4 separate regions of the Mus musculus genome follow, and regions 1, 2 and 3 are each reported to be linked to region 4. The links are microRNA targets in miRTarBase. Many come from high-throughput screens and were not tested one by one. Region 4 holds a microRNA gene; each other region holds the end of a gene's coding sequence.
Evidence for each region. The annotated mature microRNA mmu-miR-27a-3p reads UUCACAGUGGCUAAGUUCCGC and lies in region 4 at 1,662-1,682, opposite strand. An mRNA with a match to its seed (bases 2 to 7 or 8) in the 3' UTR can be bound and repressed. Matches are read on the target gene's strand: a 7mer-m8 pairs with bases 2 to 8, a 7mer-A1 pairs with bases 2 to 7 and ends in A, and an 8mer does both.

Region 1: miRTarBase lists Rprd1a as a target of mmu-miR-27a-3p. Seed matches in the 3' UTR shown: 8mer at 1,772-1,779, 7mer-A1 at 2,931-2,937 and 7mer-A1 at 3,162-3,168.
Region 2: the mRNA of Wars2 is a reported target of mmu-miR-27a-3p. Seed matches in the 3' UTR shown: 7mer-A1 at 2,482-2,488 and 7mer-m8 at 2,261-2,267.
Region 3: miRTarBase lists Serpini1 as a target of mmu-miR-27a-3p. Seed matches in the 3' UTR shown: 8mer at 3,239-3,246, 8mer at 3,030-3,037 and 7mer-A1 at 2,846-2,852.

What each region holds. Positions count from the first base shown.
Region 1 is chr18:24,484,851-24,488,850 of GRCm38, reverse strand. Rprd1a (regulation of nuclear pre-mRNA domain containing 1A) reads left to right here. Exons shown (of 7, transcript NM_144861.2): 7 at 520-3,889. The coding sequence ends at 669. Among named protein-coding and RNA genes, the nearest start is that of 2700062C07Rik, 16 kb to the right of the region's middle.
Region 2 is chr3:99,216,635-99,220,634 of GRCm38, reverse strand. Wars2 (tryptophanyl tRNA synthetase 2 (mitochondrial)) reads right to left here. Exons shown (of 6, transcript NM_027462.4): 6 at 432-4,000. The coding sequence ends at 3,728. Among named protein-coding and RNA genes, the nearest start is that of Gm38468, 18 kb to the left of the region's middle.
Region 3 is chr3:75,640,237-75,644,236 of GRCm38, reverse strand. Serpini1 (serine (or cysteine) peptidase inhibitor, clade I, member 1) reads right to left here. Exons shown (of 9, transcript NM_009250.3): 8 at 3,899-3,988; 9 at 1,714-3,562. The coding sequence ends at 3,486. Among named protein-coding and RNA genes, the nearest start is that of Platr10, 13 kb to the left of the region's middle.
Region 4 is chr8:84,206,257-84,210,408 of GRCm38, reverse strand. It overlaps Mir27a (microRNA 27a), which reads right to left and starts at 1,737; the gene lies at 1,651-1,737. It overlaps Mir23a (microRNA 23a), which reads right to left and starts at 1,891; the gene lies at 1,817-1,891. It overlaps Mir24-2 (microRNA 24-2), which reads right to left and starts at 1,594; the gene lies at 1,488-1,594. It overlaps Mir3074-2 (microRNA 3074-2), which reads left to right and starts at 1,502; the gene lies at 1,502-1,584.

The DNA.
Region 1 (4,000 bases), not on the chromosome of region 4:
ACACCAGGGCCAAAAAGGGGGAGTAGGTGGGCAGGGGAGTGGGGGTGGGTGGATATGGGGGACTTTTGGTATAGCATTGGAAATGTAAATGAGCTAAATACCTAATAAAAAATGGAAAAAAAAAAAAAAAAAAAGAAAATACACACTAGCCGGGTGGTGGTGGTACACACCTTTAATCCCAGCTCTTGGGAGGCAGAGGCAGGCGATTTTCTGAGTTCGAGGCCAGCCTGGTCTACAGAGTGAGTTCCAGGACAGCCAGGGCTACACAGAGAAACCCTGTCTCAAAAAAAACAAAACACAACAACAAAAATAGAAAAGACACACATCGTGATATTTAATTGCATGGCTATTATGTACTTTTACTGCTCTCTACTACCTCTGTAGCCCATTTGACTCAAACTCACAATGGAATGATCATTTATTTGCCAGTGGCTGAATAATACAAAATTCTGCAGAGAATCAGCAGAAAGCTAGACTGCTTTTTCAACATGAAAGCTAACGAGTGGTTTGTTGTTGCAGGAATACAAGCGCAAGTTAGCCCGAGTTTCCCTGGTACGCAAAGAACTAAGAGCCCGGATCCAGAGCCTGCCAGATTTATCTCGTTTGCCCAATGTCACTGGCAGTCACATGCACCTGCCCTTTGCGGGGGACATCTACAGTGAAGACTGATGGCCAGTCTCCTCCAGGGCCAGGACTTTGGCAGACATGGAGACAGGTTAGGTGAATAGTCCTGTAGAGTTATTTTTGTACATTGTTGAGAATGGTACTAACATAAGAAATGACAAGGAAGTATAAAATGTTAAAATGTTGGTTTGTTTTGCTATTTTATTAGTGAGTTAACATGACTTAGTTAAAACCAAGTGATGATTTCTGTGTATTAATGAACTTAATGATTATTTTCAAAAAAATCTTTTGTAAGTTTTTTTTTTGATCCAAGGCCTTGTGAGAAATTCCATGTTTCTATTTCTTCATGTATTTTCAATTACTTTTCTTTATTTTTTTTCAGTATCTAATCACTGTACACTATCTAATTCCTAATGGGAAGAACTGATCAGGAGCTGATGTGAGACTGTTTATGGGATCGTTAGAGCTTGATTATAGAAGAGACTAAATGTTTCAACTTCACCTTACTCTTGCCACCCAAATACTGGTTCTGTGTGTCCTCATGCCTTTCGAGTTTAACACTAGACATGGATGCCGTGCAGGGTCAAATAAAGCCTAGAGAAGGTTCCCCGGTAGTACTATAGTAGTTCCATCTCAAATGCCATCCCAGGATCGAAGGTCTGTTAACTAGACACTCCCTGGATCGCACTATTTAGACTAAGTGCAGTTAATGCTTTACGAATGTTGTAAGTTCTGCTGTCCTAATGAGCACAACTCCAGCTCTCCAGCTGACTGCTTCTGTCGTCAGTCTTCTTACATCAGATCCCTTTAACAAAACACCAGCTGTGGGGTGTAAAGGGAACACCAGGCAGCGACACAGTCCCAGTGCTTAATCCCTGCCCATGTCATGTAAACGTAGCTCTTAGCCTGAGCAGCTCAACAACTCAGTACCCATAGTGCTCAATTACGCAGCCCGAAACAGTTTATTTCTGTAATGTTTTTGAATGATTATATTTTGGAATTAAGCAATGCTGTACTACAGGGTAGATGTGGTGAGTTTTATATTTGTCTGTTTACAGGTGTAAATACACAGCAAATGTACCTTTATCTGTACTTGAACCTGGTGTGTTAGAGCAGGTGCATGCTCTCCAGCTTTCTCTTAAGTTCCACTGTGAAGCTGCAGGTTTGTGTTTCATGATGGCAGAGGGAGATGTTTTTCTCCTTTATTGCTTTGCATTTCTCATGTAATCGGAGTCCAAGTGAATAGTTTGTAGGACACCTTTTAGATTTCACAGGCCAGTTATACTCACTACTCTGAATGGCTTCACTGTTTCTTTCTCAGTATTAGAGGATATAGTTGAAATGAATTTCCATGTGAAGAAATGACAGGTAATTTTCTTTAATAGCCAGTAGATTTGGGAACAGTGCTTTAAACACTGGCCTTTCTCCAAAACAGAGTTACATGTATGGCATCACCCCGTCCCATGAATGTTCTATCTTCCAATGACAACTTTTGGGAATTAGGACACATTTCCTCACAGAAGCTATAGCTGTTCTCTGTGCACACCGCTGAAGCTCAACTGGAAGCCCAAACCACTGGACCTCGGATATGCTTGTAATGAGCTGACAAGTGGCTCTCGCACATCCTGAGCAGCGTTTGTCTGTCAAATAAGGGTTTGTGTGCAGCAGCCAGACCTTCACACTGGGGTGGCTGCCAGTGCTGCTATCCTTTCCTTAGGGGTAGTGATCTAAGAAAGAGTCAGCAAAGGAGATGCACATTACATACCCTGATTATGCCTGTTTTGAAAGTATGCCAAGTAAGTTTTTGTTGTTTTGGAAAGCAAAAGCTTTGTGTGTTAACTTATTTTCAGTATCTTAAACTTATTTATGATTTGCTGACACAGTGATTTATCCATCTAAACTAGATACTTTTCCATTTAAAACTAACTTATAAATGGTATACTCTTGGGAAGATATAAACTCTTTTAGAAGTTTCCTGAAATATTTTCACCATGAAGACAGACTTAGATACTCTTTTGATGCCACTATCTGATCTAAATATTTATGATAAAATGTATTATTTTTTTAAAGAGCGTGATGAGATCTGTGATAAATGCTAGTACTCAAAACCCGAATCCCCAAACCACAAGTTGTTGGTTAGCTCACTAATTGAACAGACTGTACAGTTTGTTCTAGAAGTAAGTTTTTCAGCCTTACAGTCGTTAATGTTCCTTTCTGAAAGGAAGACTAAACTTAATGGGCTTAAACCAGGTGTGGTGGTTCATGCCTTTAATTTCAGTACTTGGGAGGCAGAGGCAGGAGGATCTCTGTGAAGGCCAGCCTGGTCTGTAGAGTGAGATCAATGCCATTAGTTACATGAGTGAGACTCTGCAGTAAGAAAAAGAAAAAAAGAAATGGGCCTAGGTGAGGGGTATAAAATACCAAGCTGTAAATCATGCACATTTTCTCTCCCATGTACCGGAGGCAAATTACAAGTATGAGAGCAACCTGGTCTGGCCCTCAAGGGAAAGTATGTCACATTGTAGCAAGGTCCTGTGCTGTGAATGGACACCATTCCTCTTTTTTCCACAAACAGTGCAGAGAGCTGTCGGAGTGGCAATTTGAGCAGATTCCCGGTGCTCCCTCTGCTCCTACAATACTACAGTAAGTAAATGAGCCGTAGGGGAGCGGGGAGTCTGGAGAGGAGCTGAGCTCTGTAGCCGGCCTTCCCCGAGGAAGGCCGTCCTGCCTGTAGCTGCTGTGATAGCTGCTCACAGCGTTCTGAATCAGGGTTTCTCTGTAAGAAATCCCGTAGCATTAACAAAAACTACGATGATCCACCCTTCATGATTTTCACAGTTCAGAGGATGTTGTCTGCTGTCACTGCTGTGAGTAGCTTTGTGGTGTGTGGTTCATGAACTGGTCTGGAGTCTGGAGAGGACAGTGACTGGGAGGTAGGAGGGCCTTCCTCAGTCCCCACTCTGAAGTCATGCAAAAGCCCGACACTAGCTATTAATTGTACTAGCTATTAGGAGTTCCTCCTAGAGATGAGCCCTGCTTCTCAGTTGTGCTAGAAAAAGCTTTTGACGGTGTGAATTCAGTTCTTCTCTGTACAGAAGGGAACACTGGGTTACTTAATGGATTTGTGTATACACAGCATCTGTTGCCATCTAGTCTGCCGTGTCAAGAGCACATGGAAAAAGGATACTCCATCTTTTATAAACCCTTTTCTTTGGCTGTATCTGATGACAGTGTAAGATCCTAATAAAGTTTTATGTTCTTTTTGAAGAGTTTGTGTGTGTGTGTGTTATTTTCTGAATCCAGTTCATTGATAAAGGACAGGAAGGTGTGGGGCTAACGGGAGGGAGTTGGGAAAGTCCTGGGAGTAGTCAGTGAA
Region 2 (4,000 bases), not on the chromosome of region 4:
ATTTTTACATTTCCATTCTCTATAGAGCTAATAGGAAATAACAATAAAATTTTCCTTTTGAAGTCAACCATAGTTGTCAGTTGTTTGTATTTCTAACTCTACACACACACACACACACACACACACACACACACACACATTTATTTATTCTTGGGCCAGCATGGTGGTACACTCCATTAATCTCAGCATCCAGAAGGCAGAGGAGCTCTATCAGTTCAAAGCTAACCTGGTCTACACAGTAGACCAGTACAGCCTGGGTTATGTAGAGCCCCTGTCTCAAGAAAAAAACAACCTGCTGGGCCTGTAAACAACAATGGGAAGGGGTGAAGAGGCACACTAGGCTGTATGCAGCCTTTGCTCTCAGCTTCTGAGGCGACAGGGTGTAACAGATAGCTAGTGAAACCTTTTCTTTTTTAATTTTACTTTTTTTCAGGGGGGTTGTCTGAGGGTATTTCTAGAAAAGATTGGACACTGAGTCAGTAAATGAAGACTTATCCTTGTCAATGTTAGCAGGTCCTAACCAATCCATCAAGGGGCCGCCTCAAAAATGTGGGAAAGGCCAGTTTGTTCTTTCCTTGAGCTGACCCATCTTGGAATGTCATAGTTTATGGTTCCCAGACTCCGGGACTTGCACAGGAGTCCCTGTCCAGTCTCTTGGCTCTGAATTCCTTGAACTGACTATGCACCACTGACAAGTTAGCCTTTAAGTCTGGTCTGGATTACGCTGCTGTCCTGAGTCTCCAGGTTAAAGACAGCATGCTATGTTTTCTCCCAGTCCTTGTAATAGTGTGACCCAATCCATATGGCAAATTGTTATTATTTTAAGTGTGTAATTTTTAGTTATGTGAATACAGGTGCATGCTAAAGCCAGAGATATCTGACCCCTTAGTGCTGGCATTTGCAGGCAGTTGTGGGCTGCCCAACATGAGTGCTGGGAAAAAAACTTCATGCCATTGGTCACTGAGCCATGCTCCAGCCCCTGGTAAACTAACTTCCTCTCCTCTCTGTCTCTCTGTCTCTCAGAACTTACCATTTATTTATTTATTTTATGTATGTGAGTATACTGTTGCTCTCTTCAGACACACCAGAAGAGGGCATCAGATTCCATTACAGATGGTTGTGAGCCACCATGTGGTTGCTAGGAATTGAACTCATGACCACTGGAAGAGCAGCTAATGCTCTTAACCCCTGAGCCATCTCTTCAGCCCACTCTCTTTTGTTTCTATGTGTCCTATTGGGCTTGTTTCCCTGGGGAACTTTAATACATTGATTGAGCAAGAATCTTAATTATATGGCAAATTTAGATTTTCTGCAGTAAGAGTCTTACATAACAGAATGCACTGACCCTGTTCCTTAGACGTTATCCTGTTCTAGTGTTTTTGTGTTTTTTGTTCCCTCCCCCTCTCTTTTACACTTTTTCTTTTTTTTTGGAGATCTTTTCCTATTGCCTTTAGTTCTTGCTAGACAGAAGCATTGCTAGGAGGTAGAGACCACAGAGCTAAACAGGCAATTGGCCTGGTAGATACAATTCCCAGTATTCCTAATAGATTTCTTTAAAAGGAAGGTGAAAAGGTACTGGTGGGCTGCCTCAGTAGGCAGGGGTGCCTGCTGCTAAGCCGGACAGCCTGAGTTTGAACCCTGGAATCTACCTGGTGGAAGAAAGCCAGCTTTTGCACTGTCCTCTGACATCACACATGTTTTGTGGCATGCATGCATGCGCACGTGCGCGCGCGCACACATACACACACAAATGCAAACAGATAAAACGAAAGGAAAGTAAAAAAGATCTTTAAAAGAAATACACTCAGTGATGCTCTCAGACTGCAGACATCTCCCACTAAGGTGCAAAAGATAAAACTAACTGGCCCAACGGGAAAGTGTGCCTGATGACCTGAGCTCGAGTCCCAGAACCTACGTGGTGGAAGGAGAGAACCGGACCCCACTAATCATCCTCCAACCGTGACAGACACACCTTAGCATGATCTCACCCATTCAAACACATACACTAATAAATAAATGAATTAAGAAAACAACATGCACCCCCCCCAAAAGTAAAATGTACCCTTTTCCCGAACCTAGTTGGTGTTTTAATCTGGACTCTGGGATACAGTGTCTCCTACTTCCAATTCTATGTGACAATCGAGGTGAACTCAACCTTAACATTAAAAGTAAACATTTATTTATTTTTGTGTGTGGGTAGTCCTGTGCATTTCATTGTGGTGTGTGTGTGTGTGTGTGTGTGTGTGTGTGTGTGTGTAAGTCACAGTACAACGTTGAGGAGTTGGTTCTCTCCTTTATTTATCACATGGATCTCAGGGATTGAACTCACATAGTCAGGCTTGCTTCACAAAAGGAGCCCTTTTCTGCTGAGCCATCTTGCTGGCCCTGCAAAATCAATCTTGATACAGGCCTTGGGATGTAAGCCAGGACTGCCATTCGTTTCAGCTGTGAACATGGACGTGCAGAGCTATACTCTGTGATTTCACAGAGCCTGAGGCAGGCTGAGACGGGAAGCTTCCCTTCACTGGAAACGTCAGATGCTTTAGACTTCGCTCCCACTGGAATCTGGCCGAGACAAGCAGGCATCTCCAGCATGAATTTGGAAGTGAGGCCATGGGACCCATTTTTGGGGTTTTGAAAGGTAAGTGTGACCAGAGGTGGCTGGATCCAGATTTAAAATACACAACCATTAGCTGAGTTCACATAAACAAAAATCAGTATTTCAGCCTTTATCTTTTCAGTATCCAAACTGAATACTGGAATGTTTAGAGGTCCAAAACTTTGGCCCTCAGAGCTTTGGGAGAAGTCTTAAAAAGCACCAGTCTTGGAAGCAGGGGAGCTAGGCCTTCACTCTTGGACTTGCTTCTTATTTACTTAGTGACACTGTACAGCTAATTCCATGTTCTACCCCTCAGTTCCTATGTGTTCCACAGAGGTAGGGTTTGGTGAGACTAAACTGAGATGAATGTAAAAATAGAAGTGCTTATTATGAATACAACCAGGAACACAGGCCCTGTATAATAAATAGATGGAACTGAAGCAATATAATGCTCTCCAATGACCTCCTGGATCACTTAAGTACAGACATTTGCTGAAATAAGTAAGTCAGTGTGTGCCTTTTAAGAAACAAGTAGGTTATTGTATTTTTACTTAGGCGCGCATGTGTGTGTGTGTGTGTACTCATACCATGGCAGACAAGCGGAGGTCAGAGGACAACCTGCCAGTCAGTTTCTCCTTCCACCATGCTGGCCCTGTGGATTGAGCTCCAGCTATTCAGCTTGGCAGCAGGTACCTTGAGCCCGAGCCACCTTGCTAGCACAAGTCAAGTCATTCCAATACATGAGGATAAACATCATCACATCATCATCACATGAGCTGCAAGAATGAACCTCTCTTTATGAACTGCAAATACCCACTGGATTCAGGATTGCAGCATAGGACCTGTCTGCACAACACAGACAAAGTGCACCTGCACAGTAAATACTGCACAAGCAAGCACACGCCATGGCTCAGTAATTGTTCACGTTTTCGGGAATACTTCAGACCAAAAAACTGTGTGTCATTGAACTGGAGTGGAAGAGCTGTGCCTGCCTCAGGGATTGGAACGTTGCTCAATTGACAGCAGTCATCAAATGCAGCTGATCATCACACTCAATTGAATTTGGACAGGCTAAAATCTGTGGGAGGAAAGCTGCCTTGACTTGAGTGCAGTGACTGGCTGACCTTGCTACAGAATCCCCACCAACTTCTTCACCTCCTCGAACACAGGAGAGGCCAATTCTTTGGCTTTTGCAGATCCAACAAGTAAAACCTTTCTTAAGTGGTCCTTATCCATTTTCAATTTCTCAATCTCCTTCCTGATTGGAGCAAATTTCTCAATCACAGCATCGGCCACTAGCAGCTTGTAGCGTGCAGTGTCCAAGCCTGCGCTACTGCGCACCACCTCCTCCACCGAGAGGCCCGACACGGCCGCGTGGATCGCCACCATGTTGGAAACACC
Region 3 (4,000 bases), not on the chromosome of region 4:
TGGTCTTGTTGGGATCAGAATCTCTCTCTTTCTCTCTCTCTCTCTCTCTCTCTCTCTCTCTCTCTCTCTCTCTCTATATATATATATATATATATATATATATATATATATATATATGTATATATATACATATATATATATCTTTATTTTCATTTCAAATGTTATCCCCTTTCCTAGTTTCCCCTCTGTCATACACTCTTAATGATTCAATCAGTTTTCATAGATGAAGAACTGAGTTGGACTATTTGGACCCATGGTCACTCAATCCTGGAAATTCTTTTTAATTGTTGCTTTAGTCAACTGGAGATTTGTTTTAAGTTTATTTCAAGAATTTCTTTGAGATTATAATGTAATTACCACATTTCTTTCCCCTCAAATTCTTAGCCTCTTTTTTCAATTAATTCTTATTGAGCAAATACATACATATGTATATACATATATATTTCCAAGTACAACTTGCTCAGTCAGTATAATATTACTTCTATTTATGTAACTTTTTAACGTGCTCGAGAACATTAAGAGGCCATTTAGCTTTCCTTGAAGCTACTGGCAGCCTTGGGACTTACGTAGAATGTTTCCTCTACCTTAGCAAATTCTGCAGATTAATCATTTAACTAAAGAATCTTGCATTGGGTCTGCTTTAGAAGATGGACCATGACCATGAGGCTCTGAGCTTAAGGCAAAGTTGCAGAGTTTTCACCAATATTTTTCCTTTTCTTTCTTTTCTTTTTTTTTTTTTTTGAATTGTATTTTATCTTTGCTCAAGATTGCAGAAAAGATCTTTACTTCAAAAAGACAAGTTTCAACTGGTTTAACTTGCCTGAAGCTATTAAATAAAATGCTGCCATTATTCTTGTTTTAGAGAAAAACCAAGATAGATTTTCAGATAAGAAAAAAATGACTATCATTATAAATTCAAGAAACTGACTATATATAAAAAAATCACTGAATTGTGTTCTGTATAAGATGCATATCTAATGAATAGGAAGTATGTTCTTTACTGTATTTTCTTCTGATTTTCATTGTTCTTATAAAATGAATGTCTTGAGTATTTAAGTAAACACATAAATAATACTTTTAGTATTTGTTTGGACTTGATGGTGATATTAAAATAGATCAGAGTCTATAATTATCCATTCCAGTCTGTTGCATACACATGAATAACTAAATTCAGTTACTATCAAAAACTTCAGAATGGTTGTTGATTTCCTCTCAAACATAAGTTCGTAGAATAAAAGTCCTTTCTATGCACAATGTGTGTGTGTGTGCTTGTGTGTGTATGCACATGTGTATTTGTACTTATAGTAATGATTCATTGTAAAGAGAATAAAACAATTAGGAAATATGAAATGCTAGTTTTTCAAGAGAAAGAAAAGTATTGAAATTAAAAGCCAAGTCCAAACAAAAGAAAAACTTGAAGGTCAGGGAGATGGCCCCATGGGTCCAAGTCCTTGATGTACGACCCTGATGATTCAAGTGAGATTCTGGGATTCCAAGTTGGAAAGAGGCAATCAATCTCTGGCATTTGTCCTCTGCCTTCACATACATCCTGTGGCATATGGATGTCTGTGTTCTGGTATACACACACACACACACACACACACACACACACACACACACACACACACACAGAGAGAGAGAGAGAGAGAGAGAGAGAGAGAGAGAGAGAGAGAGAGAGAGAGAGAAATACTAAATTAATACAAAGAAAAGCTTGGTATTGTAAATTATTTTTTCTAGCTTTTCTGCCAGTACAAGACATCCATTTTCAACTAAGTAACACCTAACTTATACACATATTGAAATATTTTAAGATTAAAAGTTCCAAGAATTAAATCTTATATCTATTTTTAATAAAAATTAACATTTGGGACATCACATAATCACATGATTGCATAATAATGTTTATTCTTCCTTACAGGCCATACATTTGTTTAACTAATGAACATATAGATATAGCTATAGATGTCATATTAACAAGAAGGATACAGAGATAAAGACTGTTCTTAGCAGAGAATGTGAACACTGAATTAACACCAGGCATCTCAGCTTCATAAATTATAAATGAAAACAAGAGCACTATTGTACAATAACATGAAGATTTATGAATAAACTACAAGTCCTCTGAAAATATAAGCTGTAAAAGATTCATTGTTAAGTACTGTGTCCTCGGATAGTCATAAATTCTTTCATGGGTATTGCCTATAAATGTCTCCATATTTTTAACGACTGCATTTCAAGTGTTGTAATGTACAGAAGAATTTATCTAGAGTGTGTACTAGAAATACTTCGAGATCACACCAGTGCTTGACAAAGGCATCGTATCACTAGTGTAGATTATCTCCTCCCTGCACCCTCATCTCTCCAATCTCAGTCTGTGAAAATGTGAGGCTGACTTCAAGTACGACATTGCAACCCAAGGGACTCTCAGCAAAGGCTATGGTCAGATATCTGCGGCATCATTTGGATGTCAGTAATGATAGAAAGCTGTGGTTCCCACTCTACCTTAGACATCCTGGATAAGAACCTATATTTGTAATAAGTGACCAGGTGTCAGCAGGACGTACTAAGTTTAAGCAGCACTGATTCCATATGATGCACAATACCAGGAACTTTTTTAATAAAGTAATTACATCTATTTTCCTGGCACACCAATGTACCACTTGATGCCTTTCTTGGATATAGTCTAGAGAGTGTGCAACAATGTGATTTCATCTTTGTGTGAACATCACAAAAAATCACTAAAACGTAAATGGTACACGGGATTCCCTCCATGAGGCCTCTTGATGTCATCCAGAATAGCTAATGAGATATCTGAACTTGCTAGTAGAGTCATGTGGCATATTGGTTCACAGGAAACTTTTAAAAATAAATAAAAGAGTTATACTTTAATAAATTAAAAGTATAATACTACAGTATATACAAAATATACATCTATGGGTCTTACATATCCCACATTTCCTCCTAAATCTTTTGTCATGGAATGCCACACTAAATAACAATCTCAATTTCTCTGGCCTTTTGGCCTCCCCTTCACAGTATTGCTTATTATATATATATATGTATGTTGCTTACTTTGGTGTTTGATTCTGCATGATTATGAAGAAACTCAGAAACAACAGTTTCTACATTTTGCCTTGTAGGATCATTTTACTACAATTCCTAAAGAAACAGCATAGGTTTCAAATCTCAGACATAGTATTGTATAGACTACAACTACTTTCAAAATGAAAAAAAGTGGTTCACAGTTTCAATATGTACTTTTATTTTAAACAGCAGCACACCAGACACAATGACACAATGGGACCATACTCTTTATACTGATAACAGCTTTTGACAGGCTAACTTATAGGTCACATGGATTACTACTATCCAGAACTATTTAAATATTTCCCTAAGTAACACTATAAAACAGAAATCCTAAATATATACCACTTGCAAACATAATGTGCTTTGTTCCTGCTTTCTTTGTACTCAAACGTCGTCATTTAAAGTTCCTCAAAGTCATGGCCACTTGTATTCATTGTTTCAGGGTTCATGACTCGTCCCATGAATAAGATTATGCCTGGATTGGTTTGGAAATGAACAGAAGAGGAAAGAAAACCATGAGACCTATATTTCCTGGAAGCAATGTTTGGAAAAGTAGAAATACACATTATTTTGATTTTTTAAAAACATAAGAACATTGGAAATAATCTTAAATATATATATGTCTCTATATATGTCTATATAGGATTCTCTCTCTATATATATATATATACATATATACATACATATATAGAGACACATATATAGACATACATACATCCTAGATATATATATTTATATAATATAATATATAATTTAAAAATAGCTTCTTTGTGGCTTGTGAAATAATGTTGTATTCACATAAAACACTTACCAGATTTCCTGTTCCTGATAAGATAGAGAAATGGATGGTCGACAATAACCTGAGGGTACAGCACAGCCATCCTACTAATCGCAATCATTCCTATGGTGCAGA
Region 4 (4,152 bases):
GTTCTCTTGGAAGCTGTGTGTGTGTGTGTGTTGCCTCTGTGGGGCACTATGGGAGCTGGCTGTGACTATGAGTGTGGCCATAGTTCATGGTGCGTTCCTTTGCTCCAGGGAGCCGATCAGAGGCGATCCGCCCCTTAGCCCTTCTGGCGCAGACGGGCGCGCGCGCGTGCGTGCGTGCGTGCGTGTGTGTGTGTGTGTGTGTGTGTGTGTGTGTGTGTGTAGACGGGCGCGCGCGCGTGCGTGTGTGTGTGCATGCGCGCGTGTCTGTCTGTGCTCGCATATGTGCCCGTCCTTAAGCCCTGTGTGTGTGTGTGTGTGTGTGTGTGTGCATGCGCGCGTGTCTGTCTGTGCGCGCATATGTGCCCGTCCTTAAGCCCTGGCATCTTGCCAGTCAGTGCATCCCAGCATAGGCAGAGTACATTCTTGTAACATACTCCCTCATGGAACTGGGGTGACCACAGATTGGTCTCATACACCCCAGGTCTGGGTTATCCCTCCCGTTCAAGCCATCCCCAAAGGATCCCAGGATCTTCAGGTCGCAGCACCTACTGACCACAGAACTATATTTACACCTTCCTAGAAGCAGGTGGAGCAAGGTTGGGGATAGGTGCAATGCAGGTTAGGAGCCCAGGGTGTGGTAGATATAGTGGTGCAGCTGGTATTCCCAAACTCCAGACACTGGAGGAGTTTGATTCAAGGTCAGCCTGGTCTACACAGAAATGCTGTTTCAAGAGAAATGAAAAAAGCCAGCAACACACATGTGGGAGGCGGGAATGAAGAGACGTCAGCCCTTACGGAATGAGGCTGTGGAGCTTTTATTTAGTTGGAGAACAACATTCAATACAAGCTTTCAACTCTGTTCTTCCACCCAGGCTTCGATTTGCCCCTGCCCAGAGTAGGGAGAGGACACTGTATGGTCTGGGAAGTGTAACTCAGCCAGTTCCAATTAGTCTGCATGCAGTCTCATTTGTGGGTAGTAGGCAACTTTTTAACTTCCAAGCCTGGAGATTACTTCAACAGGCCAATGGGGGGGGGGGGCATGGATCTGTTCATATCCTGAGGCCTGTGTGGACCTCGCTCCCTGCCTCGCTGTCACCAGCAGAAAGCTGCAGACCCCATGGGATTGCTAGGCACACTGGATCAGGTCAGTGCCTTCTTCCGGAAGCAGAGAGTTGGCATTTAACCGTTAGAGGGCCTAAAGCAGCTTCCTCTTGGGTAACTGACTTCAAAGATGGTATGTATAAGGGGTGGTGCCTGAGCCCCACCAGACTTAGGAAAAGAAGGGCTTCCAGGCCCTGAGGGGACATAACTGGCTTTTAATGCAAGGGTTACCCGCCCATCTATCTGCTTTGGGGAACCACAGAAATCTCAAGGTGGACACCCAGATGCAGGCTTAGAGGCTGAGCCTCCAGCAGACAACGGGGCTTAGGTTGGACTAATTACCCCATTGTTTCCAGGTCTTGCTCACGGCAGACATTCTGCAGGGTTGCCAGCTCCTAGGGGGCTGGACTCCTGTTCCTGCTGAACTGAGCCAGTGCACTGGAATCAACTGTTTCAGCTCAGTAGGCACGGGAGGCGGAGCCCGGAGAGAGGCAGAGCCCTGCCAGCCAGGAGGCAGAGCAGGGTGGGCAGCAGCGGCCTGAGGAGATGGGGTCCAGGGGGCGGAACTTAGCCACTGTGAACACGACTTTGCTGTGGACCTTGCTCACAAGCAGCTAAGCCCTGCTCCTCAGGCCAGTTGTCATGATAGGCTTCTCTGTTACCCAGTACCCAAGACAGACATCCTTGGCGACAGGAGCCCCCAAGGCAGAGCACAGGGTCAGTTGGAAATCCCTGGCAATGTGATTTGTGACTGGCATCAAATCCCATCCCCAGGAACCCCAGCCGTCCGAGGCACAGTGAGGGGGGCAGCAGGTGGGAGCGGAGTGTAGCACCTAAAGAGAGAAAGAAGAGACAGTGAGATTGGAGCATTCTTGCTTGCCTGCCTATCTTGACCAGGCTGGGTCTCACATAGCTGAACACAAGGTTTCCGAATGCACCAGTTCTTCCTGCCTCTACCTCTGGAGTCTAGGATTATAGGTACACCTCACCACACACAGTTTAAGTGGTGCTGGGGACAGAATCTAAACTCAGCTTGCTGATCCACACCCTAGCCCTCCTCTACTTCCAAGAGGGAAGAAGCATTCCCAAAAAAGAGGAGCATCGATCCGTAGGAAGGTTGGAGCGAGGCTGCTGGATGCTGGGCACCCAGCAGTGCCTCTACCCCAGCCCTACAAAGCGGGAGGTGCCTGAAGCCCTAAGGCCAAAGGGGCTGCAGAGCCTTCCCAGCTGCTTCCCACTCTGCTTCTATCCCCACCCACAGCCCTGAGCCCAAAGCAGGCCAAATGGGGCCATGGAGAGGAAGCTGAGGGAGGTGGACGGTTGGAGGGAGGAAGTGACCTCACCCCAGCTGGCGCCACTTCCTAGAAGCCTGAAGGGCAGGAGGAAACTCCAGGGCCTCCCACCTCAGCCCTCTCCTCCCCAGCCAGCTCAGACATAACCCCACCCCCACCCCACACCACCTAGGGCCCAAGCAAGGAGAAGCAGGCCGATGCACCCCAACAATAACACCTCAGTAAAGTTTCCCCTAGGCCTTCCAAGCCTCAGTTTCCCCATCTGTAAAGCAGACTACAACAGTTGCAGTTGGTGGCTCACGTTTATCTCAGCATTGAGGAAACTGAGGCAGGAAGGTTGCCAAGAATGGAGTCAAAAGCCTGCTTAAGCTACATGATGAGTTTTAGGCCTAACTGGGCTACAGTTTGAGACCCTAGTCTTAAATAGAAGAAAAACAAAAATAAAACAACAAAACCCCAAACCTTCTACTAGGAAGGCCAGTGAAAACTTACAGAGAAGGTATTTAGCACCCAGTACCAGGGCAAGCCACAAAATTTGGGGCCTACCCAATGTAGAGTAGTGTCCTGCGTGCCAGTTAAAGTTTTCAGGGGCCAGCAAGCTGATCCAGCAAGTGAGCAGAGCTGCTATGGAGCCCAATGCCCTGAGCTCAAACCCAAGAACCACGAAGAAGAAAAGCATACGGACCCTTGCAAGTTGTCCTCTGATCTCTGCACTTGGGAACACACACACACAATTTTTAAAAATTGTTTAAAGAATTTCAATGTTGGAGAGATGACAGGTTTCTTTCCCAGAACCTACATGACAAGCACAGCTATCTATAGCTCCATTCCCAAGAGCTCCAACGCTCCCCACTGGCCCCTGTGGGTACCAGGCATACATATGGTGCACAGACGTACGCGTAAGCAAACATTCACAAACAGACAATAAAAATAAACTTAAGAATGGTGGTGCACACTGTTAGTCCCAGCACTTGAAAGGCAAAGGAAAGCAAGAACCAGGCCTTGGACAGTACTATCTCTAAGAGTTCAAGGCCAGCTTGGTCTGTGTAGGGAGTTTCAGACCATCCAGGGCTACATAGTGACACAAGTGACCTTGTTTCAGATAAAGAGCTGACTCAGTGGTTAAGAGTGGCTACTGCTCTTGCAGAGGGCCCGAGTTTGGATCTCAGCACCTGTCACAACTACCTGTAACTCCAGCTTCTGGGGATTTCACTCCCTCTTCTGGTCTCTGAGTGTACTGCACTGTCATGCACAAAGACCAGACAACACACACACACACACACACACACACACACACACACACACACACACGTCTTCTTTATAAAACATCAGGGTCGGGCTGGTGAGATGGCTCAGTTGGTAAGAGCACCCGACTGCTCTTCCGAAGGTCCGGAGTTCAAATCCCAGCAACCACATGGTGGCTCAAAACCATCTGTAACGAGATCTGACTCCCTCTTCTGGAGTGTCTGAAGACAGCTACAGTGTACTTACATATAATAAATAAATAAATCTTAAAAAAAAAAAAAAAAACATCAGGGTCTTCAGTGATAGGTCAATCAATAAAGTGGTCACCATGTAAGCAAAAGGGCTTGTGTTGTCCCCAGGTATGGCAATTCACACTTGTAATTCCAGAGCTGGGGAAGGGAAGCCACAAGATGCTCTAGGGCTCACCACCAGCCCGCCTCACCAGCTCCATGTCCCAGTAAGACACCTTCTCTGAGAAAACAAGGTTGGAGCTAGAGAGATGGCTCAGTGGTTA